7 linked regions of the Mus musculus genome follow. The protein of the gene in region 1 interacts with the protein of each later gene in a pairwise test. Links are inferred from orthologs where the notes say so. Each region holds a gene or a part of one and is shown in the gene's direction. Other genes may lie near its edges.

What was found.
Region 2: the proteins of Fxr2 (region 1) and Paics interact in binary tests that used the Homo sapiens proteins (3 or more experiments, as listed by UniProt). The link is inferred for Mus musculus from reciprocal best matches to the Homo sapiens genes FXR2 and PAICS.
Region 3: the proteins of Fxr2 (region 1) and Pram1 interact in binary tests that used the Homo sapiens proteins (3 or more experiments, as listed by UniProt). The two-hybrid records come from large-scale screens. The link is inferred for Mus musculus from reciprocal best matches to the Homo sapiens genes FXR2 and PRAM1.
Region 4: the proteins of Fxr2 (region 1) and Pom121 interact in binary tests that used the Homo sapiens proteins (3 or more experiments, as listed by UniProt). The two-hybrid records come from large-scale screens. The link is inferred for Mus musculus from reciprocal best matches to the Homo sapiens genes FXR2 and POM121.
Region 5: the proteins of Fxr2 (region 1) and Pts interact in binary tests that used the Homo sapiens proteins (3 or more experiments, as listed by UniProt). The two-hybrid records come from large-scale screens. The link is inferred for Mus musculus from reciprocal best matches to the Homo sapiens genes FXR2 and PTS.
Region 6: the proteins of Fxr2 (region 1) and Meaf6 interact in binary tests that used the Homo sapiens proteins (3 or more experiments, as listed by UniProt). The two-hybrid records come from large-scale screens. The link is inferred for Mus musculus from reciprocal best matches to the Homo sapiens genes FXR2 and MEAF6.
Region 7: the proteins of Fxr2 (region 1) and Mbip interact in binary tests that used the Homo sapiens proteins (3 or more experiments, as listed by UniProt). The two-hybrid records come from large-scale screens. The link is inferred for Mus musculus from reciprocal best matches to the Homo sapiens genes FXR2 and MBIP.

The regions. Positions count from the first base shown.
Region 1 is NC_000077.6:69,631,728-69,635,770, forward strand, and holds the start of Fxr2 (fragile X mental retardation syndrome-related protein 2), read left to right. Parts: upstream 1-1,243; 5' UTR 1,244-1,590; coding exon 1,591-1,671; intron 1,672-3,672; exon of another isoform or gene 3,673-3,792; intron 3,793-4,043. UniProt on the Homo sapiens protein: mRNA-binding protein that acts as a regulator of mRNAs translation and/or stability, and which is required for adult hippocampal neurogenesis. Specifically binds to AU-rich elements (AREs) in the 3'-UTR of target mRNAs.
Region 2 is NC_000071.6:76,964,656-76,968,009, forward strand, and holds the end of Paics (multifunctional protein ADE2), read left to right. Parts: intron 1-1,591; coding exon 1,592-1,750; intron 1,751-1,992; coding exon 1,993-2,159; 3' UTR 2,160-2,854; downstream 2,855-3,354. UniProt on the Homo sapiens protein: Bifunctional phosphoribosylaminoimidazole carboxylase and phosphoribosylaminoimidazole succinocarboxamide synthetase catalyzing two reactions of the de novo purine biosynthetic pathway.
Region 3 is NC_000083.6:33,636,762-33,640,855, forward strand, and holds the start of Pram1 (PML-RARA-regulated adapter molecule 1), read left to right. Parts: upstream 1-1,294; 5' UTR 1,295-1,413; coding exon 1,414-1,416; exon of another isoform or gene 1,417-1,451; intron 1,452-3,702; coding exon 3,703-4,094. UniProt on the Homo sapiens protein: May be involved in myeloid differentiation. May be involved in integrin signaling in neutrophils. Binds to PtdIns(4)P.
Region 4 is NC_000071.6:135,384,547-135,388,046, reverse strand, and holds part of Pom121 (nuclear envelope pore membrane protein POM 121), read left to right. Parts: intron 1-1,051; coding exon 1,052-1,223; intron 1,224-3,102; coding exon 3,103-3,194; intron 3,195-3,500. UniProt on the Homo sapiens protein: Essential component of the nuclear pore complex (NPC). The repeat-containing domain may be involved in anchoring components of the pore complex to the pore membrane. When overexpressed in cells induces the formation of cytoplasmic annulate lamellae (AL).
Region 5 is NC_000075.6:50,525,857-50,530,081, reverse strand, and holds the start of Pts (6-pyruvoyl tetrahydrobiopterin synthase), read left to right. Parts: upstream 1-1,425; 5' UTR 1,426-1,445; coding exon 1,446-1,525; exon of another isoform or gene 1,526-1,752; intron 1,753-1,849; exon of another isoform or gene 1,850-1,936; intron 1,937-3,065; exon of another isoform or gene 3,066-3,132; coding exon 3,133-3,212; intron 3,213-4,225. UniProt on the Homo sapiens protein: Involved in the biosynthesis of tetrahydrobiopterin, an essential cofactor of aromatic amino acid hydroxylases. Catalyzes the transformation of 7,8-dihydroneopterin triphosphate into 6-pyruvoyl tetrahydropterin.
Region 6 is NC_000070.6:125,102,161-125,105,660, forward strand, and holds part of Meaf6 (chromatin modification-related protein MEAF6), read left to right. Parts: intron 1-678; coding exon 679-871; intron 872-1,269; exon of another isoform or gene 1,270-3,500.
Region 7 is NC_000078.6:56,343,095-56,347,390, reverse strand, and holds the start of Mbip (MAP3K12-binding inhibitory protein 1), read left to right. Parts: upstream 1-1,496; 5' UTR 1,497-1,590; coding exon 1,591-1,719; intron 1,720-4,296. UniProt on the Homo sapiens protein: Inhibits the MAP3K12 activity to induce the activation of the JNK/SAPK pathway. Component of the ATAC complex, a complex with histone acetyltransferase activity on histones H3 and H4.

The DNA.
Region 1 (4,043 bases):
GACACAACCTGTAGTTTGAACACTGATCCTATTTTATTTTGTTAAGTATTTATTTAATGTATATGAGTACACTATTGCTGTTTTCAAATACACCAGAATAGGGTACCAGTTCCCATTATAGATGATTGTGAGCCACCATGGGGTTGCTGGGAATTTAACTCAATACCTCTGGAAGAGTAGTCAGTGCTCTTAACCACTGAGCCATCTCTCCACCTCACACCCCTTATTTTTACAAAAAAAAAAAAAAAATCTGTTATACGTGTGGGTGACCACGAGTGATGTTATATGTATGATGTTCAGGAGACAACTTGCAGGAGGATATCTCCTTCCATTTTGTGGTCTAGGAATACAATTCCCGTTAAGCTTCGTATTCGAGCCATCTCTCTCTCTCTCTTTTGTTACTCCATGACAGTTTTTCCTGTATTGAATCCCCTCAGAATTTATGCATCAAGTTATGTGGCATTTTGTTTTTCATACGGCACTAAATTTACTAGAATACTAGTCAACTTAGGGCAAGCATGGTAATGACATGGCTGTAATTTTTGCACTTGGGAGGTGGAGGTTGGAGGACCTATTCAAGGTCATTCCCCCACTACCTAGTTAGTTCATGGTCAGCCTAGGACACAAGAGACCCTGTCTCACAAAACTTAAAAAAAAAAAAAAAAAAAAAAAAAAAAAAAGTCTACTTAAGCCAACAACAGTGACTCTTGATTCTCCTATGGATGCAGAGAGTCAACACATGCGCATGGACACCAAAGCCCAGCGCCTGCGCACTGGGCAGTTTTTGCCTTTTGGTTCCCCCCCCCCCCCCCTTTTTGGAGTGTGCGCACCAAGAAAGACAAAGGTGGTGAAAGTGACCAAGCAGTCATTCGGGCGCATGCCCATCCCTAAATTGCCCAGGCTCCATGGGGCTCACTTTGTGGAGGCGGAAGTCCAATCCGATGCAGCGAGCGCGGCCCCCCTCTCCCTTTGATTGGTTTGCTTCCAGTGTTGTGGGGCGGGGAAAGGAAGGGACAGGGACAGTGGAAGGTTGGAGTGGTACAGAGAGCGTTCGCCTCGTTCTGCGCAAGCGCAGAGAGGCGACCAGGAGGGGGCGTGAGAGAGTGCAAGAGAATGTGGAAGCCCTGACGCGCTGGCGAGCGGGAGCTGGGTCGCTAGCCTAGACGCCTGCGCCTTGGCCCTCCGGCTCCGCGCGCGGCGGGCGGGTGCCCTGTGCGCCTGCGCAGTAGGCGGCGGCAGCAGGGGGAGGTGGAGGCCGTGGAGCGGCAGCGGCGGGTCCCGGGACCGAGGCAGCAGCGGGGGCGCCGGCGGGCGGAAGCTGAGGTGACGAAGGCGGCGGCGGCGGCGGCGGCCGTTTCCCTCACGGTGGCGGAGACCAAGGCAGCGGCGGCGGCGGCGGACGGGGAGCGGCCCGGCCCCGGCCCCCTGCTCGTCGGCTGTAGCAGGGCCGCCGTGGGGCCGGCCCGGCTCCCGCCCCCCGCGGCTCCCCCTCCGGCTCCTCCTCCAGGGAGACGCCGGGGACCCGGCCCGGCCCGCACTCAGGGCTCTGTTTCAGCTGCTGCCGGGCCAGTCGGAGGTGGTGGCGGCGCCATGGGCGGCCTGGCCTCTGGGGGGGATGTGGAGCCGGGACTGCCCGTCGAGGTGCGGGGCTCCAACGGGGCCTTCTACAAGGTGAGACGGCGCGTCGACCCGGGCCACCCTCCTTAGCCCCCTCCCCCAGCCGAGGCAGGGAAGAGTGGAGCGGGATCGAGTTTCTGGAGCTTGGTCTTGACCCTTAGAACCTTCGACCCACGTTCCCACTCGAAACCCTCCCGTGGCGATCGTGGGAGTTAACCCTCGTGCTTTTATTTTGAGCTCGCTGTTACACCTGCTTTTATCAGCTGAAAACATGGCCATCAGGTCATTCCTGTGCGGGGATGGGAGCCCCGGGTCCCTTTGGAGAAAGCCCTTTTCCTAGCTTCTAATCGACTTTTCTTGTTTTTTTTTTTTTTTTTTTTTTTTTTTTTTTTTTTTTTTTTTAGTGTAGGCGATACTTCAGCTTTTAATCACATCACCCCTGCAGCCCAAGCACATGGAGGATTCGCATTCTTTTCCTACATGACCCCCTTGGGAAGGTCCACTGTCCCACATTAGGTCTTCAGGGAGCCTTCTGCCTACTGGCTCTAGACCATTTGCTCAACTTTTGGTCTTAAATTCCTGTTCCCAGGCTGACAAGAAATGGTCAAAACCCATCTGTGTTATTTAGCATTAGCATCTTTGGCCTCAGGTTTTTATCAGCCAGCCATAAAGTGGATTTGTTGGACAAGTTTGTCACCCACCACACCTATATTCCAAAATCACCTATGAGGGATGGATTCACGCTTATCTCTTTGACTCTAGATATATTTAGGTCATTCCTCTATCTTCTTGGTAAGTTTAAGCTTCACTGTCTCTCAAAGGCCATCTCAACAAGTTCTTATTCTAACAGATTTCTGCTTGTTGACAATCCTTCTGGAAAGAAAAAAAGTATCTTTCAGAATTGCTTCTTTAATCAGCTTTTTCTTTGCCTAAGATTTGATTCCTGTGAACTTTTTTAAGGGGTGTGGTTGGGACAAGATCCCCTCCCTGGCTGCACTTGAACTCTTCCTCAGCCTAGGATTACAGCTCTGGCGTTACTGGTTGAGCCACCATGCCAGACCAGACTTTTGTTTTTTCCTTCTTTCTATCCACCACCCACCCCATCTTCTGTATCTGTCCTGAGTCTATTCTGGATCCCACGCCCCAGATATTTTCTTCTTCTGATCAGTGGGGTTCTGAACATCTTTTGACTTTTATGAGTGGAATTGTCCCGGACACGTTTGGTCCCTCTCTTACTCTTCATCCTGGAGAGAAAGAGGAATTTCCATAGCATGAGATGGGTGAGAAGAGCCCCTTTTTCTTCAGGTTTCCTCAGGTTGTCTGTCCCCCTACCCTAGTAGAACTTCTACTTTCTTATGCCCTTGGAAATAACTTTCTCTGACTCTACTATGAAATTGTATCTTTTTTGTAGCTGAAAAAAGACTTAGGTTTGCCCTACCCCTGTAGATGGTTCCTACCCTCACTTCAACTGATATGCTAGTTATCCATTATAAAGGCCAGGCCATTTTTTTCCCTTTTCTGATCAAGTTCTTTACCCAGTGCCTATGGGTGCACATACCTATTAGCTTTAATGCAGCTTCTCAACTAAGTCTCGGTCTTTTTAGCTTGGTATTTCTGTATTCCTGTGTATCCTTGATGATGTCTACCTGTCTAGTCTGTGTATAGCTGAAGAAGGCTCCTAGCTGATTCTGTCACTTTCCTAACTCTTGGTACTTTTTCTTCAGACCAGAACAGTGTCTCTAACATTTCTGTTTTCTGTAGCAAAAGTCTTTAATTCTTTTGGCTTCTGAGAGGACACATTAATGTTTTAATATCTATTTCACCCACATTTGTATTACCTTTGTTAAAACAGTCTCCTCAGGCTGGGTATGGTGGTACATACTCTAACCCTAGTACTTAGAAGGCTAAAGTAGGATTGTTGAAGTTCAAAACCAGCATGGGGAATGGAATCCAGTCTAAAACAACCCAAACAAACCCAAAAAGTACTCTTTATTATGCTCTCTTTTCCTCGATATGTTAGTCTTCATCTGTATCCTTCTAACATCAAAATGTTAAAAATTCCAAAAAAGCTGTGTGTAGGTGTGTGTGTGTATATACATACATACACACACACACACCTACACACACACCCACCCCCGTTCGATTTCTGGGTACAGGATTTCTCTATGTAGCCGTGGCTGCCCTGAACTCAAACTCTGTGGGATAGGTCTGCCTTTGTTGAGTGCTGGGATTAAAAGCATCCACAACTACTCTTAGTTTGAAAAGTGGTTCTTAAATTGAGTATGAGATCAAGATAAGATATTTGCATTTGGTTTAAGGAAGCTCAGGAGCCATGCACAGCTGGGACAGATGAGTGCTCAGTTCCAATTAACTGTATGACATGGTTGGGCTGGGACATGAATTCTGTTACACATATGGGTATCCAA
Region 2 (3,354 bases), on another chromosome or scaffold:
TTCTGATTTGGGTAAAAGATTTTCAAATAACATATTTTTGAACAATAATGCTTAAATGAGCTTTCCCCGTATTTATTTCTATGTTTCATGCTATACATTTCTTACACTTATCTTCAGAAGGGACACTGTAGAAGCCTATGAAGGGACAAGGGGGACACTTAAATGCAGGGATAGAGAAGCTGGAGAGCGCCCTCAGCTGGATGCCACACCAGGCATCGCACAACTGCCTGGAGCTGCAGGTTCAGGAGATCAGACATCTTGTGGCCTCATGGTCACCTGCATGCATAAAATCATGTGGGCACACATATAATCTTTTAAAATAATCTTTTTAAACATGGCTTAGTGACATAACATATACAGCCATCTGTGGCTCACTGCACACATGTGCATAGACACAGCATGGAGGCAAAGCACCCATACATGTAAAACCTTAGAAAACAGACTAGACCTGTGAGGAGGGGTGGTCTCCTTGTCTAACAAGCAGTACTCCTTAGCATTGTTTCTCGTGTGCTCCGACGGAGAAGAAGGCCCTCACTCAGCTGCAGGAGGCTGAAGCAGCAGAGCCTCTCTAGTATCTGGTCAGATTTCTTAGAAGCATATAAGCAAGCTTTAGTTTCAGTAGATAGCACATCAAATAAATGATAGGATATCATTGATCTAAACGACTGGAACTTGTTCACAAAAAAAACAAAAAACAAAAAAAAACGGTTCTAAACAAGAAAAAATGACGTTTGATTCTCTTGAAACTTCAGATCCTTTTAATAAGCTAATGAATGTTTGGATTCTTTGCCAGTAAAAAATAAAAAAAATATATAATTTTAGGCGGACTGAAGATAGAGTGTAACTCAGTTGGTAAAATGCTTATTTAGCATGTAAGAAACCCAGGACTCAATACCCACTACCACATAGAACCAGAAGTGGGTATCACAGTTTGGGAAAGTAAAACAGGAGGACTATTGTAAATTCAAAGTGAGCCTGGGCTACAGAGTAAGGCCCTCTGTATGTCAAGGCTGTTAGAGAATTTGAAGTGTGTATATGCACGTTTGGTGTTGGTGTTTGATACTGCAGTTTATTGAGCCTGGAGCCTCAAGCATGCTAAGCACTTGGACTGCGGGTGCTATACTGCAGAAATCCCAGCTCCTAGAGACTATAATTTAGGAAGTATCCACAAAATCTCTAATTACTATTAAATGAGTCTACCAGCACCACTTAAGGACAACTCAACATGAGGGTAGCTGTTTAGTTGGTGAAATTCTTTTTTTTTTTTTTTTTTTTTTTTTTTTTTACTGAATCTAAGCAGTAATAGCAGAAGGGAGCTATGAACCAGCCATTTCCTCACTGACCTCATGACATTTCTTATATAACAGATCTCAAAGATCATCAGGCCTGTTCTGCCTAGCTTGTTTTGTTTTTATTGTATGTGTGTACAGATGCATGTACCAATTGCAAGAGTTGATTCTCTCCTACCGTATGGGTTCCACAGGTCACACAGGTCACCAGGTTTGACAGCAAACACCCCTTATCCACTGCAGTCTCACCTGCCCCGCACTGTTTTGTTATAAAGGACCTGACCATCTTATACTTTCCTTAGGGGATGGCATACCTACTGTATTTGTCTCTGTGGCGGGCAGAAGCAATGGTCTAGGCCCAGTGCTGTCTGGCAATACTGCATATCCGGTTATCAGCTGTCCCCCGATCACACCAGACTGGGGCGCTCAGGATGTGTGGTCATCTCTTCGACTGCCCAGTGGTAAGACCTTGAAAATTTTTAGTGCTGTGTGTGCCCAAAATTTCAAGGTACAATCTCAATGTCTGACTATATATTTTAACTACAGCCTACTATTTTAAATCAGATCTTATGTTTTTAAATTATTTTATACTTAGATGCTTAAGTACGCATCTCTAAGAAATAAGATTTGGGTTTATTATCATCTTTTTTAATTTTTAAGCTGCCAACTCATTTTTCTGTCTTTTTCTTTTCTGATCCAATAGGTATTGGCTGTTCAACTATACTTTCTCCAGAAGGATCAGCTCAGTTTGCTGCTCAGATATTTGGGTTAAACAATCATTTGGTGTGGGCCAAACTTCGAGCGAGCATATTAAACACGTGGATATCCTTAAAGCAGGCTGATAAGAAGGTCAGACAATGCAATTTGTAAAGAAGCAATTTAATTTTTAGGAGAAAAGTTACGTAGTCCTAGTTTGGATTTAAAGAAAAAAGTCAAGCAAAATGATTTCACATAAGAGAAAACAATTTAGTTACTAATGAACAAATGTTACTCAGTGTTTATGAGTTGGCACATTGTCAGTGGATATTACTAATATTTCTAGCTCTACAAAGTGATATGTCCCTGTAACCTTAGCACTCCAGAGGCTGAGGCAGCAGCAGGACCTCTTAAGTTCAGGGCCACCCTGAGCTGTGTATTGAGACTCAACTTGCCGTGGAGGGAATCTTTCTAGCTAGTAAAATTGGCATGACACTACTAAATTTATTCTCACGCTCTGTATAGTCACTGTTGGGTAAATATGTAACTATGGAACTGGAACAATGTGTCTGCTGTCTGAACCACTATGAAGAACCAGTGTGGCTCTCTTGCAGACGACCTGAATTTGCTTCCCAGCATCTCTGTAGACTGTTTCACAATAAATACCCTTTAAATCAGGGGATCTGACCCCATGGCTTCCTCATGCACCTGCTTTCAAATACTATTACATTCCCCCACCCAACACACACAATTTTAAAAAGTAAACTTTTTAAAAAGAGTAATAGCATTTTTTGTTGTTGTTAATCAGTAGATAATGCTTGAACTGAGTTGATACATTGAAAATTAAAATACTTGTGTATAACAATATATTCTCGCTGTGTGGTCTATACATTCTAAGTCATTATCTAAGTTGATGGATGTATTTGTGCTTTGTTGGGGTTTGTTTTTACAGTGTTGAGGAGACCTTGCCCATGCTTTAACCCTGGTTTTTTTGTTTTCAAAAGGTTGAGATTAGAGGTAGAAGAAAGGTGCTCGCCAGGTCTCTTTCCTGAGGTCTTTGGGCAGTAGGGCAGTCGTACGTGGGATAAAGCCATTCCAGGGAAGGATGGAGTAAACACTGCTTAGCTAGGATTGGTAGGTGCCTCTCTGGTAAGACATTTGCCACACCTGCAGTCACCATCCTGCCACCATTTTAAGAAATTGAGTCTCTAGTTTGTAATCATAGTTAAGGAGTGGGTGAGTGTGATGGGCTGATTGGTTTGCTAGTGTATATCCGAACAATGGGCCAGATTCGCTTCTGTAGGAGCCGATGTTTTGGGGAATCCAAATTCTGTGTTTCATAAAGAGCTATAGATCTGACAGTGTTTCC
Region 3 (4,094 bases), on another chromosome or scaffold:
CCAATCCTCCTGCTTTTAACTCCCAAGTGCTGTTTTATGAGATTCTAGAAATCAGATTTAAGGCTTTGTACATGCTATATAAGTACACTACCAACAGAGCTACAAACTTTGGATTTAGTTTATGTTATCTTCCTTCACAGGGTCTCAACTTTCCAGCCGGGGGATGGTCATGCACTTAATATCCTCTTCTCCCACATGCGAGGATTACGGATGTGTGCCACTATACCTGGGTAGAACATGTACTTTTTTGGTTACGTTTCTGAGTCAGGGTCTCATTATGTAGTGCTGGCTGGCCTGAAATTCACTATGTAGATTAGGCTAACCTTGGAAATGTAGTGAACTTCCTGCTTCTGCTGGGATTACAAGTATGCACCACTACGCCAGTTGCTTAGAGCATGTACTTTGTGACTCCAGGGACATAGACACATGTACACTCATCTATACACCAGAACCATCCTGCTAGGGTGTAAGTAGTCCTCCTCCTTGGACCACATCCCAGACTGGTGACATCAGAATCTCTGGAAGATATTTTTTTAACAGCTCAAAGAATTCTATTCTGTTCCCAAACTGAGAATCATACCTCTGAACCCTGCTGAGTGTTCTTTGTTCCTGTGGACTGAATCACGTGTCAGGGCTCTCCTTTCCTATATCTACCTTTGTCCCACTTTGGGCTTCATTTTCCTGCAATCCAGTTTTCTTGTTTCTCCTCTCTCTGCTTCCTTTAACCACTGTGAACTTGAGAGGTCCTAAAACCCCATACCTTCACAGCAACAGTGATGTCCCTTCAGCCCAGGACTTAGACATCTTTTAATGCCACCCACCCATAAGTCTGCTTATCCCAGTTGATGATGCTTTGGGTGCATAGCCCTGGCTGATGGGGCATTTGTCACCTTAACAGGGAAGTCCTGTTGAGAGTACAAATGGTGAAACAAGGTAGATGAAGCAATACAGGAGGACAGATATGTCCTCACCATTGCAACAGCCATATCCTAGGTCTACCTCTTTAGAGACGTCTTAAGACCCAGAGAAAGCCATAAAATCCCCACTAAGGTGCTGTGACTGTCCTGAGTTTGTCCTAAGCTTGCCTCTTCAGAGACAAAGCTTGTCAGGACCCCAAAGTGTTAAAACTAAGGGGGACAATAGGGAATCAAGAGGCTAGTAGGAGCTAGGAAACTTGTGCTTTATAGATGTGCTTAGGTCTAATGACCTGACTTTGGGGACAGTAGTGGACAGGCAGGAACTCAAGGAGGGGACAGAAAGGCTATCTCCGCCTCCTTCCTCCTCTGCCCTCCCCAGCCCAACAGCTCCGACTTGGTGTGTCAGCCCGTGGAGCAGAAACCACACTTAACTTCCTCAAGGCAGAAGCCTAAGCTCAGAGCTCATTCACCCTGTGGTTCATCATCCCCTGAAGCCATGGTGAGTCCTCAAGCCCCCATTGGAAGTTCATTCAGGTAACAAGGGTCCCAAGTAGAAACTGGGGAACTGGTAAATATGCCCTCATGGGTAACCTAGCAGAACAGAGCTAGAACAGTCTTGGGGATGAGATGGCACAGGAAAAGATAAGAAACAACCAAGGCATAATAGCTTGAGCTCTTGTGGACCAGCTTTGTATCTGTGACTGCAAGGCAGTGTGGTGCTGGTTGGGTCTGCCTGGAATGATATACCCTCAATCCAGGTCAGCAGCTGGGATATAAGCAGAGGTTTCCTGTGAAGTGATTAAATGGGTCACGCACCTGCTACACCAGTCCCCATCTCCAGTCCGTTACCCAAGCTGTGCTCTGCTAAACCCTTCCTTATCTACCCTTGTGGTCATCAACTCACTTAGACTGGGGCTTCAACAAAGAAATGTCTGACCCCAGGCAAGAATTGCTTCCTTCCCAGAGATCCTTCTGAGTCCATCTCTAGATAGATTTACAAGGTTCTGTCCTCTCTGTCCTCCAATCTTTTTTACCCTTGGTGAAGATAGGCTGGGGATATCTACCAGCACCTATGGCAAAGAGCAGGTCAGACTTGAGAGCACCAGAAATGTTCTAAACATATCATATAGTGCCTGTACATTTGGGGAGCCTCCCTTCTGGTCCTCATGAGACATGTCAGGGACTATGACACCTAATACCCACATCTTAGATAGATGTATGTAGAGCTTGTTAACTTAGTTAGAATGGCTAGCCAACAAGCCCTAGAGGGCCTCCTGGCCTAAGCTCTCCAGAGCTAACTAGGATGACAGGTACTGCTCCTGACTTTGTTATGTATGAGTACTGAAGCTAGAACTCAGGCTTGCATGACAAGTACTTTACCTACTGAGAAATCTCTCTAGTCCCCCCAACTAAATTTTAACAATTTATAGTCAAAATGGGTATGGTGGTATACACCTGTAATGCCAGCACTCAGATGGCTGAAGCAGTAGAACTGTTGAATCCCAGCCTGGGCTACATAGTGAGAAACTGACTTAAAATAAACAAAAAACAAAAAAAGGAAAGGAAAGGAAAAAGGAAAAAGGGAAAAGGGAAAGGGAAAGGAAAGAAAAAGAGAGGGGGGCGAGGAGAGGAAGAGAGAAGAGGAGAGGAGAGAAGAGAGAAGAGAAAAAGAAAAGCAAGCAAGCAAGCTAAACTAATGGTGGCACACACCTGTAATCTCAGCACATGGGAGGCAGAGGCAGAAGGTTATCCTCAACTATAAAGCAAGTTTGAGGCCAGCCCAGGATATATGAGACCCTGCTTCAAAAAACAAATTAAAAAAAAGGAGGAGGAAGAGGAGGAGGAGAGGACGATGACAAAAAACCCTCATCACTGGGAAGATATAGTTCATTGCTAGAGCTTGTTTAGCAAGGTGCTAAGTTCCATCCCTAACACCACAAAAATAAAAATCCTCAAAACAACCCTAATATAAGAACTAATATAAAAAACTTCATAGGTAATGGGAGACAAAGAGAGTAGAAAATGTTGGTGACTGTGGGCAACTGGGAAGAGAAAACTGATTTAAAATGGGGTTATCTCCGAGGTCACCCTTAAGGAGCATTATCATAAAGACACAGAGGAGGAAGAGGAGAGACCCATGCATTGAGTGGTATGCATTACAGACAGGACAGAGGCGGGGTGGGGGGACCACTGCTGAGTCATTCAGGGACTGTTTGCTTTCCTCAGAGATGAACTCGCTGAGAGATTGGGAGCAGACACTTTATAGGCCTCCTCTAGGGCAGCAGACCACGGAGGAGGAGCCCATTACAGTGATCTGGACTGTGGAGGGCAGTTCCTCTACTTGGGGTGACAGTGAGAAGTAGTTGAATTCCGGATGTATTTTGAAATCAGGAAAAAAAAAAAAAAAAGGACTGGGGAGAACCGGTGATCAGGCAGAGGGCAAAGAGAGGTCAAGGGGGAGCAGTGGCACAAAGCACAAAGGTTGAAGATATTGTTGATCAGAAGCGTGGGCCATGGGCTAGTAGAAAGGAATAAGTAGTTAGGTCCTGTTAGAGGTTAGACACAGCTTAGGTGGAGGAGTCTGGAGGGCGTGGGTTCCAGGAACCTGGGGACAGGAGTAGTTCTTACCCAAAAAGAGAAGCTGAGATTGGGGAAGAACCAAAGTTAGAATGAGAACCTAAGGGAAGAGGAGGGTGATGGGTTTGTGTGCCTGTGACCAACTGTAACCGTTTCTCCATCTGCCGCCTTGTGATGAGAGCCTTCCTGAATGACCCATGTCTTTTAGGGGAGCAATCAGGACTTCCGAAACCTCCAAGCTAAGTTCCAAACCTCTCAGCCAGAACTTGGAGAACTGTTCAGAAAAACCCCAAAGCCTGAGTTAAACAAAGTCCTGAAGAAATTTCCACAGACTGAGTTAAGTGAGCAGCCCAAGAAGTCCTCACAGTCTGAGCTCAGTGCAGTGTCTTTGAAACCACTGCAGCTGCAGTTTGCAGACCTCCCCAGGAAGCCCCCACAGCCTGGAGTTCTTAAAAAGTCACCACAGCCTGAGTTCCCTCATCTAGCCAACAAGCCTGTACAGGCTGAATTCCCAAGGAAGCCTCTACATCCAGAGTTCACAGGTCTCAAAAAGCCTTCCCAGGCTGAGTTCACAGATCTCAAGAAGCCCCCACAGCCCCA
Region 4 (3,500 bases), on another chromosome or scaffold:
AAAGATCTTGATTGGTCCTGGGCCCGTTCATATTCTCATCTTCTATTCATCTAAACTATGAGGTGGGACGAATAAGCAAGTGCGATTTTACAGATGCGTATGAGCAGTCAGCTTGTTTTAAAGGTGTATTATAGATGACAGGTGTAAGCTCTTGTGGTCAGGTTGTTAAGAGCAACAAACTGGTAATTTTCCAGGTATTCTGTTCCAAGTAGTAAGTGAAGTGATGCTTAGATATGGGCCGTAAGCAGTGCTTTAAGTAAACCACTAACTAAAGCAGTCAGCCAGTGTCTCGTGCTTGCTCTGTCTCACTCTGCTTCACTAACATGGTGCAGTTGACCCTTCACAAATGGACCACAGGCTTCTGCAGGGCAGGAAGTGTTGATATGGAGTGTATGAGAGGAAGTTTGCATAGAAGGTGCATAAGTTCCAGTGTGGTAAAAAGGCTCTGTCAAGCCTTGCACTCAGCTCACTGTGTTGCACCGTGGGAGACATGCATACACAGTGTGGACTGCTGAGGTAGGAAAGCCTGACAGGGGCTGGCTTTGGAGGCTCCAGCCTAGAGGAGGCACAGGCATCTGGGAGCGAGCCAAGATGATGGTGTGCTAGTGGAAGGAGGGGAACATTGGCTGCCTCTGCTGCAGTTGTCAGCGAACTGGTTTGTGGTTGATGCACTTGCCTGGGAAATGGTAAGAGGACCATACTGTAGTAGGGCTAGGTAACACACATTGACAGAAAGGATTATGGGAGATTTCTCTTTCAGTTAGAGGCTTAATGATTTTTCTCTTAGCAGCTTTATTGAGGGATCATTGACAGACATTACGTTTTTGTCCCCATGACACCACAGTCAAGGTGTAACCCTTCCTGTTGTGTTTCCCGTGCTGTGCTTTTACCCAGTCACTTTGTCAGACATAGGCAGCCATGTCATCTGCTGACAGTGGCCTTGAGGAACATTGTGGTGGTCTTTCAGGTTTATTCAGAAAGGTGAGGCACCATGGTGGAAATAGCAGAATACGCCTGCAGTAGCGCATGTACACTTCTTCCTTTCTCTTAGGCCTGGCTCCCTGAAGAGAAGTCTGGCTTCCCAGAGCTCAGATGACCACTTGAACAAACGGTCTCGCACCTCCTCTGTGAGCTCCCTGGCTAGTGCGTGCACAGGAGGCATCCCCAGTTCTAGCCGCAATGCCATCACCAGCTCCTACAGCTCCACCCGTGGCATCTCACAGGTATGTCTCAGGGCCGGGAGCAGAGGATGCAGCTCACCCTCTGTTGCTTTGCACTGAACCTGTCTCTAGGCTAACTGGAATACAAAGCAAATTAACGAGATCAGTGGGACTGAACAGAAAGCAAACCTGGTCCAGATGGAGCAACCTGCAGATGGACCAGTGCAGTAAATGGTACTGATTTAGAAAGGTTTTGTTCCCTTTGGAATGTAAAGGAGATTTATTTCTTTATTTTAAACTTTCTTTTTTTTTTTTTATTACGTATTTTCCTCAATTACATTTCCAATGCTAGCCCAAAAGTCCCCCATTCCCCCCCCCCTCCCCTACCCACCCAATCCCACTTTTTGGCCCTGGCGTTCCTCTGTACTGGGGCATATAAAGTTTGCGTGTCCAATGGGCCTCTCTTTCCAGTAATGACCAACTAGGCCATCTTTTGATATATATGTAGCTAGAGACAAGAGCTCCGGGGTACTGGTTAGTTCATAATGTTGTTGCACCTGCAGGGTTGCAGATCTCTTTAGCTCCTTGGGTACTTTCTCTAGCTCCTCCATTGGGGGCCCTGTGATCCATCCAATAGCTGACTGTGAGCATCCACTTATGTGTTTGCTAGGCCCCGGCCTAGACTCACAAGAGACAGCTATATCAGGGTCCTTTCAGCAAACGCTTGCTAGTGTATGCAATGGTGTATAAAGGAGATTTATAGGCAAGTAGGATTTAGTGTAAGCTTTGATTCATGAAGTAGATGTCATTCTTGTTTAGAGTTCGTTAGAGCCCATAGGTGGGGAAGCCAGGCAGCTCCACTGTCAGGCACACTTGGGCTCCAGTATTGGTATTGACACTAGGAGGTGCACAGGCTCCTGCAGGTAGATCAGTCGCCCTTGGTGTTTGCTTTTGCCTTTTGAGACAAGGTCTCATGTATCCCTGGCTATTGTGCATGCAGCTCAGGCTGGGTTTTAACTAGTAGTGATCCTCCTGCCTCAGCCTCCAAGCACTAGGTGTTCAGCTTGCACCACCATGCCCAGTTTGTATCTAATACTCATATTCATGGAATATCAGAATCTGTAAAAATAGAGGCTGTACTTTTTACTATAGATGATTTTTGTTAGAATATGTAATGAATACAAGAATTACCTCTTTATTTCTTTTTTAAGATATTTATTATTTTTATGTATATGAGTACACTGCAGCTGTCAGACACCCCAGAAAAGGGCATCTGATCCCATTATAGATGGTTGTGAGCCACCATGTGGTTGCTGGGAATTGAACTCAGGACCTCTGGAAGAGCAGCCAGTGCTCTTAACTGCTGAGCCATCTCTCCAGTCCTTTTATTTCTTTTTTTAAGATTTATTATTTTGCAGTATGTGGTGGAATACTCTAACAAGACCAGCCTGGCCTACATAGTAAATTGCAGCCAGGGCTATGCAGTAAGATATGGTCTTAAAAAAAGAAAAGAAAGATATTTTTATTTATTTGAGCCTGTGTGAGGCCAGAAAGCATCCATCATCCTAGGAACAGGGTTACAGTATTTGTGAGCAGTCTGGTGTGGATGCTGGGAACCAAACATGGGTCTTCTTCAAGAGCAGCAAGTGTTTCTTAACCACTGAGCCATCTCTCCAGTCTCTCAGAAAGGTTTAGTTTTGCTGTGTTTCTTGATTTTTTTTTTTCTTTTAGTTTTTTGAGACAGTCTCTCAGTAACCCTGGCTGTTCTGGAGCTCACTATGTAGAGCAGGCTGGCCTTGAACTCACAGAAATCTATCCACCTCTGCCTCCTTAGTGCTGGGATTAAAGGTGTGTGCCTTCCTGCCTGGCCAGGTCAGAATATCTGCCTACATAGCCATATTGTCAGTAGTAGTTTCAGATTGTCTCTCTGCTTGACTTGCAGCTGTGGAAGAGGAGTGGTCCCACATCTTCTCCCTTCTCCAGTCCAGCTTCCTCCCGCTCCCAGACACCAGAGAGGCCAGCCAAGAAGACAAGGTGATGACCGGTCCCTTCTGGTCACTTTGTGTGGACAGGGGCAGCGGGTTTAACAAGGATTAGCTGTTGGGCTGCTTTATCTGACTCAGCAAATCAGAGTCAAACCATACAAGAGCAGCAAAGTGCCTGCTAGAGTTGTGTCCTTGTCCTACAGTGTGAGCAACTGATGGTTGGGGTCCCTTCTCTGTCTCATACTCCAGTGGGAGTGGTGCAGAGGCCACTGGGAGTGGAGTGCAGAGTGGACCGGGTCAGCAGGGAGCCTGAGTCCCTGGCCCCAGCTCACCCTTCACTGGAGCTCGGCTCCCT
Region 5 (4,225 bases), on another chromosome or scaffold:
TTCTTCCACTACTTGGTCTTCAGTCAATATTTCCAATACACTCTCCTCCGTTTTGCATGCACCCCAAGGTAGCCAAGAATTTGTCACTGTGCATTAAGCAAGCTACGTTTCCACATTTCCTTTGCTTAAACTCTTTCCTCTTGGGATTTTCTATTTACCCATCTGTTGGACTCCTTAAAACCCATCTCAGACTAATTTGCTCTTGGAAGCTTTCTTTTACTCTCTGACACAGAAATGGTAATTTTTCACTTGACATATTATTTGTTGGACTGCCCCCATTAAACTGAATTTTCAGATAACAGGGACCATTTTGTTGTTCTGAAGTACATGTGTCTAATACTTAAAGCATCTGGGATTAAGGTCTTAACTGTGGTGGTAATGCAGGCCCTTAATCCGAGCATTTGTGAGGCAGAGGGGCAGAGGCAGGTGAGTTCCAAGCCAGTCTGGTCTACAGACCAAGTTCCAGGACAGCCAAAGATACTTGGGTAAACATTTTTTTTAATTTAGTTTTTAAAATTTAATTAATGGATGGGTGATGTGGGGGCTGCCTTGCCAAAGGTGTCCATTTGAATTATGTATAGGATTTTATCCTTTTGAGACGGACCTTGAGCTTGTCACCCTCCTGCTTCAGCCTCAGTGCTGGGATCACTGATATATGCCATCTCTGACTGACAACATTTAATAGAAGCTAACCTTCTGAGACAAATATCTAAACACAGAACCAGCAAATGTTGCACAAGAGCGGTTGGGATTACACTGGAATACCTTTCCATTTCAAAAACTCTGAAAGCCAGGAATCTAAAACCAGGAACAGCGTATTCCTTCTGAGGGCTCTGAACGGTGAATCTGTTTTCTGGCTGTCTCTGGTTTGAGGAAGTCTCTTTGTATGACATTCTCTCACTTGGATATTGAGATGTCAAAATTTTCCTTTATTTTCCACTTAAGCTAGTGTTTTACTATGTTGCCTAGAACAGATCGGGACTCCTAAAATCAATGCCCCAGCTTCAGCCTGCAGGGTAACTCTAATGACAGTGCATTGCCATCCTTAGCTGGGGTTTCTTTTTGGTTAAGGACACTTTCAATGTGGTACCGGGCTGGAGAACATCTGATAAGGGCACCCAGACATTGGATTTGTCAAACCCAGGACTGTCAAAAATGAAGCGAAAGAAGAAGACACAAACTAACCTGGCAATTTAAAAATCCAGGCCTCTGGCTTCTCACCCACCCACTGGCCCCAGGTATTTCTGACTGCCTAGCGAAGACTGAACAGCAGGGGGCGCTAGTGTTTGCCTCCAAGTCGGCCGAAGGGTGCCGCGAGTCGAAACCACTCCCAGGAGTGCTTTCGGCAGGGAGGGCCGAGTTTGCACTGCGCAGCCGCGGGGGCGGGACTGGCCTCGGTCCCGGAAGCCGGAACCGCTAGCTTGTGAGTCTTCGGTCCGAAGACCATGAGCGCGGCGGGTGACCTTCGTCGCCGCGCGCGACTGTCGCGCCTCGTGTCCTTCAGCGCGAGCCACCGGCTGCACAGGTGGGGTGTGCCCACGTGTGTCACCGCACGCGCGGGTCTTGTCCCGCTATGTCCCTGGGGGGCGTGGCCACGCGCGTGGGTTAGAGCCGAGCTGGGGCGGGCCGAAGAGGAAATGGTGAAGGTGCGGAGCTGCACTACCGGCACTCACCCGGGAGAGGGCGGTATAGCTCCGATCCCGGAGGATCCACTCTGGAGAGTTTCCCTCCAGAGGTTGCCCACATCCAGAGGTACAATGACAGGAGCATGGGCTACCGGGTGCAACCCAAGGTAGTTTTCATCCCCCTTTTACCAAAAAAGTAAAACCAGCCTTGATACTTTCCAAAGGAGCAACACAGTCGGGAATTGAATCCCAGAGAAACAAGACCGCACCTGAGAGTTGGTTTCAAAGGGAGCTTCGTTACTCACTTGAAGGTTTGCTCTTTGGATCTGCATGTCATCATCAGAGAACGGCCTTTTCTAACAACAGGGTTGTCATAGGGAACAGCTGACACTTGTCATCCCTCTACCCCCACCCCTCCGTGTGGTCAAGTTGGGTACAGTGAGAATTTTCTTCAAAAGTCTTGTGAGCTGTACTGCTCTAAGTGCGCAGTAGGAGAGAGTGAAGGGGATAAGAAAGAGTTTAAAGAATTTAAATAAAAAGTTGTGTTTGTGTGTGCTTGTGTGCTGTGTGCACAGCTTGCACGAAAGAGTCTGTGGAAGCCAAAAGAGGATTCCTTGAAACTGGAGTTACAGGCTTCTGAGCTGTCACGTGGGTGGGCTGGGACCTGAACCCTGGTCTTCTGCAGTAGCAGTAAGCACTCTTAACTGCTAAGCCATCCTTCCGGCCTCTCAAAAGGGATTTTTATAATAGGAAGCTTACACACAAGGTTAGTAAGGATGCACAGATAAGTTGACTGATACAGATTCATTAAGCTAATTGTTTTCTGTCTGGAATGACAGCCATGTGTAGTAAGTTTAAAGTTTCACCTGACTTGAGTGTCCTGGAACACATTGGTAAGGTTTCCACTAGGCAACTGCTGAGGCAGAGGAGGGCAAGATTGTGAAAAGAAGAGCCTGAGGTCATTATTTGTCAGGAGGAATGACGTTTTTAAGCCGCTGGAGGATATGTATGTCTTCGTGCTTATCACTGCTCCTTGCTTCATCTCTTATCCCATAGCTAATACTCAGGGCTTGTTGAATTGGAAGGTGGAGCCGGGATGTAGCACAGTAGGTAGAGTGCTTGACTACACAGTGCCTGCTTACATAGATCTCAGGACTTGGGAGGTGGAGGCAAGAGGGTCAGAAGTTGGAAGTCGTGCTAAGTTACCTAGTGAGTTTGAGGCCAGCCAGGGATAGAGGAGACCTCGACAGAGAGAGGGCAGGAGAGACAGTGCTGACTATGGGCAGAGTTGTTGACATCTTACTGTGGACTAAGTGGGTTGAGATGAAGGTCTTGGATGATTTATGTGGTAATCTAGTTTAATTAGAGAGTGGAGTGTTGGTTCTTGATAGAAACGGGGATCATGATATGCAAGCGATCTAACCAGTTGATCATCTACAGTGACATGAAATTGTAGAGTTTTCTGGACGTCTGAACTTCGGGCTGACCTCTATCTTTCTCCTGTCAGCCCATCTCTGAGCGATGAAGAGAACTTAAGAGTGTTTGGGAAATGCAACAATCCGAATGGCCACGGGCACAACTATAAAGGTGAGGGAGGGGCACATTCCCTCCTAGCCTGTTGGGAAGAAGGACGAGGGGGCTGGGAGCCAGACGCTTCCGGGACAGGGTCAGGGCTCTGAGCCCTTCAGTGGAAATTCAAGACAGAGTCATTGTCTTGGTTGGATGGGTGTTCTGGTTTACCTCACAATTGTCTACCATGTTAAAGACAGTAGAAAACAACAACAAAATGAGTTAAAGCATTTTCTTTGACATTCAAATGCATAATAAAACTGCCATTCGCTGTTTCCTTTTAATTATGTTGGGCTAAAACTAATGTTAAAATTTGATTATAGTGAATGTTTGAGGACACAGGTATGTTTAACCTGATTTAAACATGATACCATGTATATATGAATTGAAACATCAAATAGTGCCCCTTTATATGTAGACTTTTTATATTTTATGTATTAGCTAAAATGTAAAACTTCATAGTAAAATAAAAAGCAATTATTTTGAGTAAATACTGGCTAATGAAACGTAAATTACTTAGGGTGCATTCTATTGCAGAAAAGGGGGCTTTCTAAAAATGATTTATTGATTTATTTTATGTATGTGAGTACATTGTAGCTGTACAGATGGTTGTGAGCCTTCATGTGGTTGTTGGGAATTGAACTTTTAGGACCCTCTGCTCATTCAGGTCAACCCTGCTCGCTCTGGTCAGCCCTGCTCGCTCAGTCCCTGCATACTCTGGTCCAAAGATTTATTTATTATTATACATAAGTACACTGTAGCTGACTTCAGATGCACCAGAAGAGGGGGTCAGATCTCCTTACAAGTGGTTATGAGCCACCATGTGGTTGCTGGGATTTGAACTCAGGACCTTTGGGAGAGCAGTCAGTGCTCTTACCCGCTGAGCCATCTCATCGGCCCCCAGGAGTTTGTATATAAAACTTTTCTGGTAGTATCCTAAGAAAGTGATTTGTGGGAGGAGAAGGGACATGATTCTCAGAACAGGCCTCCTAAGCCCTGGAGTGGAGTGGTGTATGGTGAGACAGGGTTAC
Region 6 (3,500 bases), on another chromosome or scaffold:
TATCCTCTGAGACCTAGGAAGTTCACGGCCCAAGTTCCCATGAGACAATCTCTATCTTCCCTCCAAAAAAAAAAAAGATCCAAGACGGCAGTAATCAACGGATGGACTGGACGCTGCTCCCCACTGGGTACCACCTTCTTTTTGCTTTTTAAATTTATTTTTTTAAATGGTCTGTATGTGTCGGGCAGGGCAGGGTGTGGGGTGTGTGTGTGTGTGTATGTGTGTGTGTGTGTGCGTGTGCATGTGGGTGCAGGTACCCAAGGAGGCCAGAGGTGTCGGATCTCCTGCCGCTGCAGTTCCAGTGGGTGAGCCTTATGACATGAGTTCTGGGAGTTAGGCTCGGGTCCTCTGTAAGAGCAGTGCCTGCTTTTAATCTCAGAGTCATTTCTCCAGCTCATCCTCCACCAACTCTTCACTGAAAGGCAGGATTCTCTGACCGTTTGTCAGTTCTGCCAAGGCGTAACCCTTCCTCTCTTCAGTGTGCTCCATATTGAAATGGCCCTTAGTGCTCTGAGTTGTGGTCAGGCTTGTCCCCCGCACTGCTGCAGACCACGTGGATTTCAGGGGTTTCCTAGCTTTGATACTTTGAGTGCCTGTTCCCCGTCTTCTTTGTTCCATGGCCCGTGGGGACTTGAGGAGTCCTGATCTGGCTTTTGGGACCTGTTTTCGTTCCTCTAGGGGAACCAGGAAGTGGGACGGAAAGCGATACTTCTCCAGACTTCCACAATCAGGAAAACGAGCCTGCGCAGGAGGACCCCGAGGACCTAGACGGCTCCGTCCAGGGAGTGAAACCTCAGAAAGCCGCCTCTTCCACCTCCTCAGGAAGCCACCACAGCAGCCACAAAAAACGGAAGAATAAAAACCGGCACAGGTTAGTGGCAGGGTCCCACCCAGAGTCCTCACACATGCTGGGCGGGGCTTGGTTGGAATGAAGGTGCCTGGGACAGTGACAGAGTCCTCATGTTGCGGGTGGCAGACATCCTTCTGGTGCAAGTAAAGTGGGGTGGTGTCCTCTGAGGGGTGGAGGGTGGCAGTAGAGAGGCCCTGAAGGATCCACGGGAGTCACTAGGATGGACCGTGACTCCCATTGTCCTTTGCTAAGAGGAAAACAGGGAAATTAGAAAGGAGTCCTTGAAAGGACGACTCTGGTTGTTGGGAAACCGTGACCTGGGATAGAGGGTCCTGTCTGCTCCCGTGGGAGCTGAGGTGACATGCCCTTATGACTTTTTAAATACGGGTTTTGATTGTTATGACTTTTCTATTTTGTAGTTCTCTGAGTACGCTGCCTTCAGATACGGGGAAACACTTAAAGCTCCTCAGTGCGAGCATCCCTCCCTCCGTAGGAACCTTCTGAGCACTGTTACTTTTGCAGTGGGAAGTGAGATGGGAATGACACCAGTGGACAGAGAGGTCAGGTGTCTCAGGGGACTTAGTGGCCGCTCTGCCTGGGTTTGTATGCTACTGCTGGGCCTTAACTCAGAGGGGAATAAGTACCTAAAGCAGGGCCCTCCCCATCCTGGTGTTGGAAGCCTGAACACTGTGGGGTCAGAGGGGTGCGCAGGGCTGTGTGGGGCTGGCTCCCTATCCTCTGGTTGGCTAACGAACTATGTTGCTTTAGAAACCCGTGGGGTGTCCCCTCCTGCACCTAAGGTGTTACACTGTGAACTTCACAGACCCGGCACTGTGGATATTGTAGAATTAAATTTAACTGGTTTGAACCTCTTTGGCATCAACAGATTCTTGAATTCTTTTAAACTTTTCTTGTTTTTTTTTTTTTTTTTTTTTGCTTTCTGTTTTTGTTTTTGTTTTTGTTTTATTGCAGAAATAGTGTTTTCTCCCTATAAATAGTGATGAAGGATTATTGCTTTATGGTTTTTCTGCAAACCTAAAACCACTGTGCTACCTCAAACTATAGTGAGAAGCAACAAGACTTGTCCCCTCCCCCATGGTGAGACTGTAGGTGATTGGAGCACTGTGGCAGGCTTAGGGCCAGTTTATCGCAGACAGCAAAGAGCCATACTCTCTTTCTTTCTTTTTTAAAAGAGTTATTTATTTACTTATGACTGCTCTATCTTCATGCACACCAGAAGAGGGAATCAGATCGCATTACAGGTGGCTGTAAGCCGTGGTTGCTAGGACCTGAACTCAGGACTTCTGGAATAAGCAGCCAGGGCTCTTAACTGCTGAGCCATCTTCTCAGCCCAGAGAGCCATACTCTTGAAGAGTATTTTATGGGTTGGGAGATAGTTCAGTTTGTAAAGTGCTTTCCCTGCAGGCATGAAGACCTGAGTTCTACTCCCAGCACCCACATCAGAGCACTCAGTGAGTTGTATGTGTACATAATACCAGCATTAGGGACCATGAGATCTTGGGGGCTTGCCAGCTAGCCAGGCTAAAAGAAGTGATGGGACCCTTTCTCAAAAACTATATGAAGGGACACCTGCATCAATCTCTGGCCTACACACGTGCAGACACACACACACACACACACACACACACACGCATACACACATACACTGACACATGTATATATACCTCACACACACACACACAGAGGGAAGATAATTATTAAGTGTTTTTTAAGATTTATTTATTATTTATGTGTAAGTACATTGTAGGTGTCTTTAAACACACCAGTAGAGGGCGTCAGATGTCATTATGGCTGGTTGTGAGCCACCATGTGGTTGCTGGGATTTGAACTCAGGACCTTTGGAAGAACCGTCGGTGCTCTTAACCGCTGAGCCATCTCTCCAGCCCCTTAAGTGTTTTCTTGTATGTTGATTTTTTTTTTTAATTACATTTACTTTGTTTTCATTTTGGTGATTCTTTTCCTATTTCAGAGTGTCTAGAGCAGGGAGAACATTCTTGAAAGTCTCTCGGGACGCTGCACCCCTGACCAGTGTTCTCTTTAGACCCTGCTGGTTACGTGCGACACCCCTGACCATTTGCACTAGTGATGTGACCAGCTGCTGACTGACAAGAGGGTGCTAGAGAAGTGTTCAGTTTAACTTTGTCCTTGCAGGTTTCTAGAACATTCCTACGAGCATAACACTTCTTCCTTCTCCCCCAGGTGTGAAGCCCCTCCAGAAACACAGTAGCATTTGAAAGACCATCACTGGGCACTGCCCTCATAAGAGGCGAGGCCTGCCCAGAAGGTGGACTGGGTTATTATAGTCAGAATTCCTGTCCGTTCTGATCTCCTCCCAGGCCTAATGTGCTCACTTGCACCCCACCCCACCCCACCGCACCCCAAGAGACTGGTGCCACCAAATTGCTCTTTCTGAGGAAGCGAGGGTCAGGACTGCCCTGGGTGGCACCTCAGTGGGCTCAGGTGGTTGGAGTCCTGTGACCTCTGCACACTCAAGGGCAGGGCAGGAGCACATTTATCTGGACGCGCTGGCGAGCCGCACCCAGAGCAATGCTTTCTTTGCAGCATGAGGCTGGTGTAGCCAGGCCGTGTTCACAGGACGCTCGTCAGCAAATGGCTGACACTGTTGAGG
Region 7 (4,296 bases), on another chromosome or scaffold:
GTAAAAGGCTCCTTAGACAGGTAAAAGGAGTTCTTTCATTTTTACTCTCCTTATCCTAGTGTCCCTTAATTCCTTATTTCTTCCTTTATTCAGTCTGCTCTCTAAGGATAGACTACCCATTAACTTCATACTTCCACTTCCTGTATGTTAAATGCACTCAACTATCATGAAGAAGAGTTTTAAATCGTTTGTTTGCTTGCTTGCTTGCCTGCTTGCTTTTCGAGCTTTGGTTTCTTTGTGTAGCCCTTGCTGTCCTGGAACTCACTTTGTAGACCAGGCTGGCCTCATAAGGGATTTACCTGCCTCTACCTCCCTAGTGCTTTGGGATTAAAGGCCTGAGCCACTGCCGCCAGAGTTTTAATTCTTTTGTCCTTTATCTTTTAAGCTTGTTTTAAAAATTTAATAGAGCCAGGCATGGTGGAGCATGCCTTTAATCCCAGCATCCGGGAGGCAGAGGCAGGCAGATTTCTGAGTTTGAGGCCAGCTTGGTCTACAGAGTGAGTTCCAGGACAGCCAGGGTTATACAGAGAAACCCTGTCTCAAAGGAAAAAAAAATTAATAGAACTCTACATTATAAAATTATAACTTTTTTCGCTAAAATAAAGCTATCTAATAATACCCAACAAGAGTCGATTTAGTTTTATATCCTAATTTTAAAGAGTGTGGTTACATGGAATAAATTGGTCTTTTCTTTCTTTCTTTCCTTCTTTCTTTCTTTCTTTCTTTCTTTCTTTCTTTCTTTCTTTCTTTCTTTCTTTCTTTCTTCCTTTTCTTTCTTGTTGTTTTGTTTTGAGGCAGGGTTTCTCTGTGTAGCCCTGGCTGTCCTGGAACTCACTCTGTAGACAAGGCTGGCCTCGAAATCCGCCTGCCTCTGCCTCCCAAGTGCTAGGATTAAAGGCGTGCGCCACCACTGCCCGGCTGGTTTATATTTCTATTGGATTTATATTGAAACAATTTTAAGGTCAAGTGTCCAGTGATTGCACTGAGAACCCGTTGCATGTCAGAACTTTGACATAAACTATTTTGCAGGTGTAGTCATCAATGTCGTTCTATGGTAGGAAAAAGAAGCATAATGTAGCCCTTGTGTTCTTTTTAAATTCCTCATATCAAACAGTCTTATAGAGATGAAAATGTTCTATCCAGTAACGATCATCCTGGGTCAAGTTTCTAGTAATTAGAAAATTGTAAAGCACTGCTCCATCACTAACCCGCAATCTTTTTCCAAGACAACTCGACTGTTAACATTTTAAATTTTAATAGCGGGACTCAAATTCTAACACTTAAGAGTAAGGCTCTGCCAACATTCACAGGGAGCATCTAAGAGCCAAGTAGGTTTCTAAACCAAGGTGGACCACAGAAAACACCACCAGACAGAAGGTCCAGCTTCACATACACAAGTTCCCTCGGAGCACAGCTATCCTTGCTCTTGATTGGTCTTCCTGTGTGTCTGTCACACACAGAGGGTGGGGCCTATCCTCAAGCTCTAAGTGAGACGCTCTAGTTTTACGTCATCTCAGTGCGACGAAGTCCGCGAGGGAGGGGTGGGGTGAGCGCTGTTCGCGGTGGTTGGGGGGCTGCTTTGAAGGTGTCATGGCTGCTGCTGCGGAGCTTAGTTCCTCAAGCGGCAGCGAGAGGAGCCTGGAGCAATGCTCCAGCCCCCTCCTCACCCGCGAGGTCCTCTGCGAAGTCTTTCGCTCCTTGCACACCCTGACAAGACAGGTAAGTGGGGGTGCGGCGGGGAAGGGGTGGGTGGGGAGGGAGAGCATCCCGGTCCTTGTCCCCTTAGTTCTCTCGGAGGCGGGGGTCGCGGAGCCCCGCTGGCACGGTGTGTGCCGCTGGTGTGCCGTGGCCGGGCTGTGACACCCGGAAGACCCTGGGCCCAGCTCCTGGGACCGGGAGATGCCAGCGGCACGCTTGATGGCCAAGGTCTGGAGAAAACTGGGGTCCTGGCGACGAAAGCTTGCCCAAAAGATGCCTAAAAGGTGATGAGGGTGAAGGAGGTTCCTGGCGATCACGGTCCTTTTGCCTCCAGTGTATTTATCGCAGAAACTCACTGGTTAATATGGCCTGAAACTTTTCCTAGCGCCATCCCCACTCCTTGGGGGGTGATTTACTCTGGGGTTTTTTGTTTATTTGTTTGTTTTTCTGTTTTTTGTTTCTCTTGCCATTTATTGCATCTCTTACTCTTTTAAACGGGGAGGGATATATAAGGATTTCCACAATTTCATTTGTAGTATACCTAAATTTTAGTGTGAATTGTTGGATGAGTTATGTGTGGCCACTTCTAACTACATTACGACTGTCGTGTAGCTTAGCTAATTGCTCTTTACAGAAAATGTCACAGTAAACCTGGATTTTAAAAACTAGGTTACACTTTACTAGATAGTCGTGATGTAAATGAGGCAATGTTTAAATAAGGAACAAAAGTATGTTTGCCTGCTTTTAGAAGAGTTTTGTGTCAAACATGTTTCCTAATTTGTTTGGGGACTGGTTATAGTGCTTGAAATGGACACAGCACACATTTATGTCAAGGGCAGTGGTACCACCAGTGAGAATAGGACATTTACCTGATTTGTGAGGATTATTTTTAAAATCCTTAGTTGGAAAACCTTAGTAAGTTTATTCTGACTGGCAAACTACTTGAGTTGTACATTCTGTTTGGTGTTACTGGACTTCGAAAAGTTAAAAAAAATTAAACTCAGTTGCTTGATAAGCAATTAGGAAAAAAATTCTTACAAAGTCTTAAGCACTTTCCTTATTAATATTTCAGTAGTAACATCTCAGATCTTTAAATAGTTTAAAAGTTAGAGAACTTTTTGGCGTGGATTTGGAACTTAAAGATTTATTCATTTATATTTCTAATGTCAAGATGAGAAAAATCTTCTCAAATATTATGCTTAGAAATTGCAAAATAATTTACATTGATAAATTATTTGAATTATAAAATATCTAAATTTTGCATACTGAGTTTTTTAATTATATAAATTTATCTCAAAGGTTCAAATGGAAAAATGATTAAACTTAACTTATGCCACTTGCCAAAAATGTGTAGAGAAAATGAAGTTTTTGTAACAGTAAAGGGTCCTTTAACAAGTGTCAAATATAAGATTTTTTAAAAAATTAATTAAATGCTATTTTAGTAATATGTATTTTGAGATGCGTGATTAAGGATGAAAGCCATCCACACTTATAAAGTTGCCCCTGCGGAATGTGTCCTTTCGCAACAAATTAAAGGGACTTTTAAGATGTAAATTGTAATATGTCTAAGTTCACCTTAAATATCATTGAATTATTAGCGCTTTTCGATAGAAAGTGTAAAACTGAATTGTTAAAAAGCATTTTTCCTTCAAATGCAACTAATGTGTTTCTACTGAACATACATGACTGAGTAGTCAGTGTTAATAGTGTGTTAATAGAAAAATTTGAACGCCTGATTACTGTCCCAAGGATTATGGGATAAAAATTCATAGAATCCATATGTTACTGGGGAATTTGCTGAATGAATAATTGGATTATTTGGGGGCCATTTTTAAGTTAATTTGTCACCTTACTGTTTGGTTTCCATAAAAGATCAAGTGTCTCCAGTTGCCTTTGAAAGCTTCCATACTGACATGAGAATATGATCCAAATATTAAGATTTCTTTCCTATAATTATTTTCTCTAGAAAGGGTGATGCTTTGCTTTGGTTTAAGGTTTGCCTGCTTATTCCCCAAACATAAATCTGCCAAGAGCTCTATAGTTGACTGTGGCAAGAATAATGAACTGTAAAAATAAAAAAACAAGACATGAATTGTCCATGGAACCAAAGAGATCTCAGGTTCCTATGTTAAGCACTCTACTGTATAAATAGTGGATACAGAAACCTACTGCCTAAGACCAGGGGCATCTAAGTCCACATTTGGCAAACATAAAGAAATATGAAATTTTACATAGGCTATACTGACATAGGTAAACTTACACTAAGTTAAGATTTGACGATAAGATTACTAAGATAACTGCATTTATTATTGAATATGAAAGTAATCCATCAGCACATGTCTTGGTTTTTTATTCTTACAGCTCTTTAAATTTGTATTTGAGCTCATGAAACATGCATCTTTACTTTGTAGAAAATATGACATAATTTTTAATAAATTATTATTGCAAAATAAGTACAATTGACTTGTTTCCACTTGAATTGTGTCTAGCAAAGTTTATAGTGATTCCCTTATACTCAGTCAAATGTACAGGTGGAAGCTTCTCCCTCTAAAGTTTTGACTGATTTTGATATTAATTTTATATTCTTGGTAGTGTTCT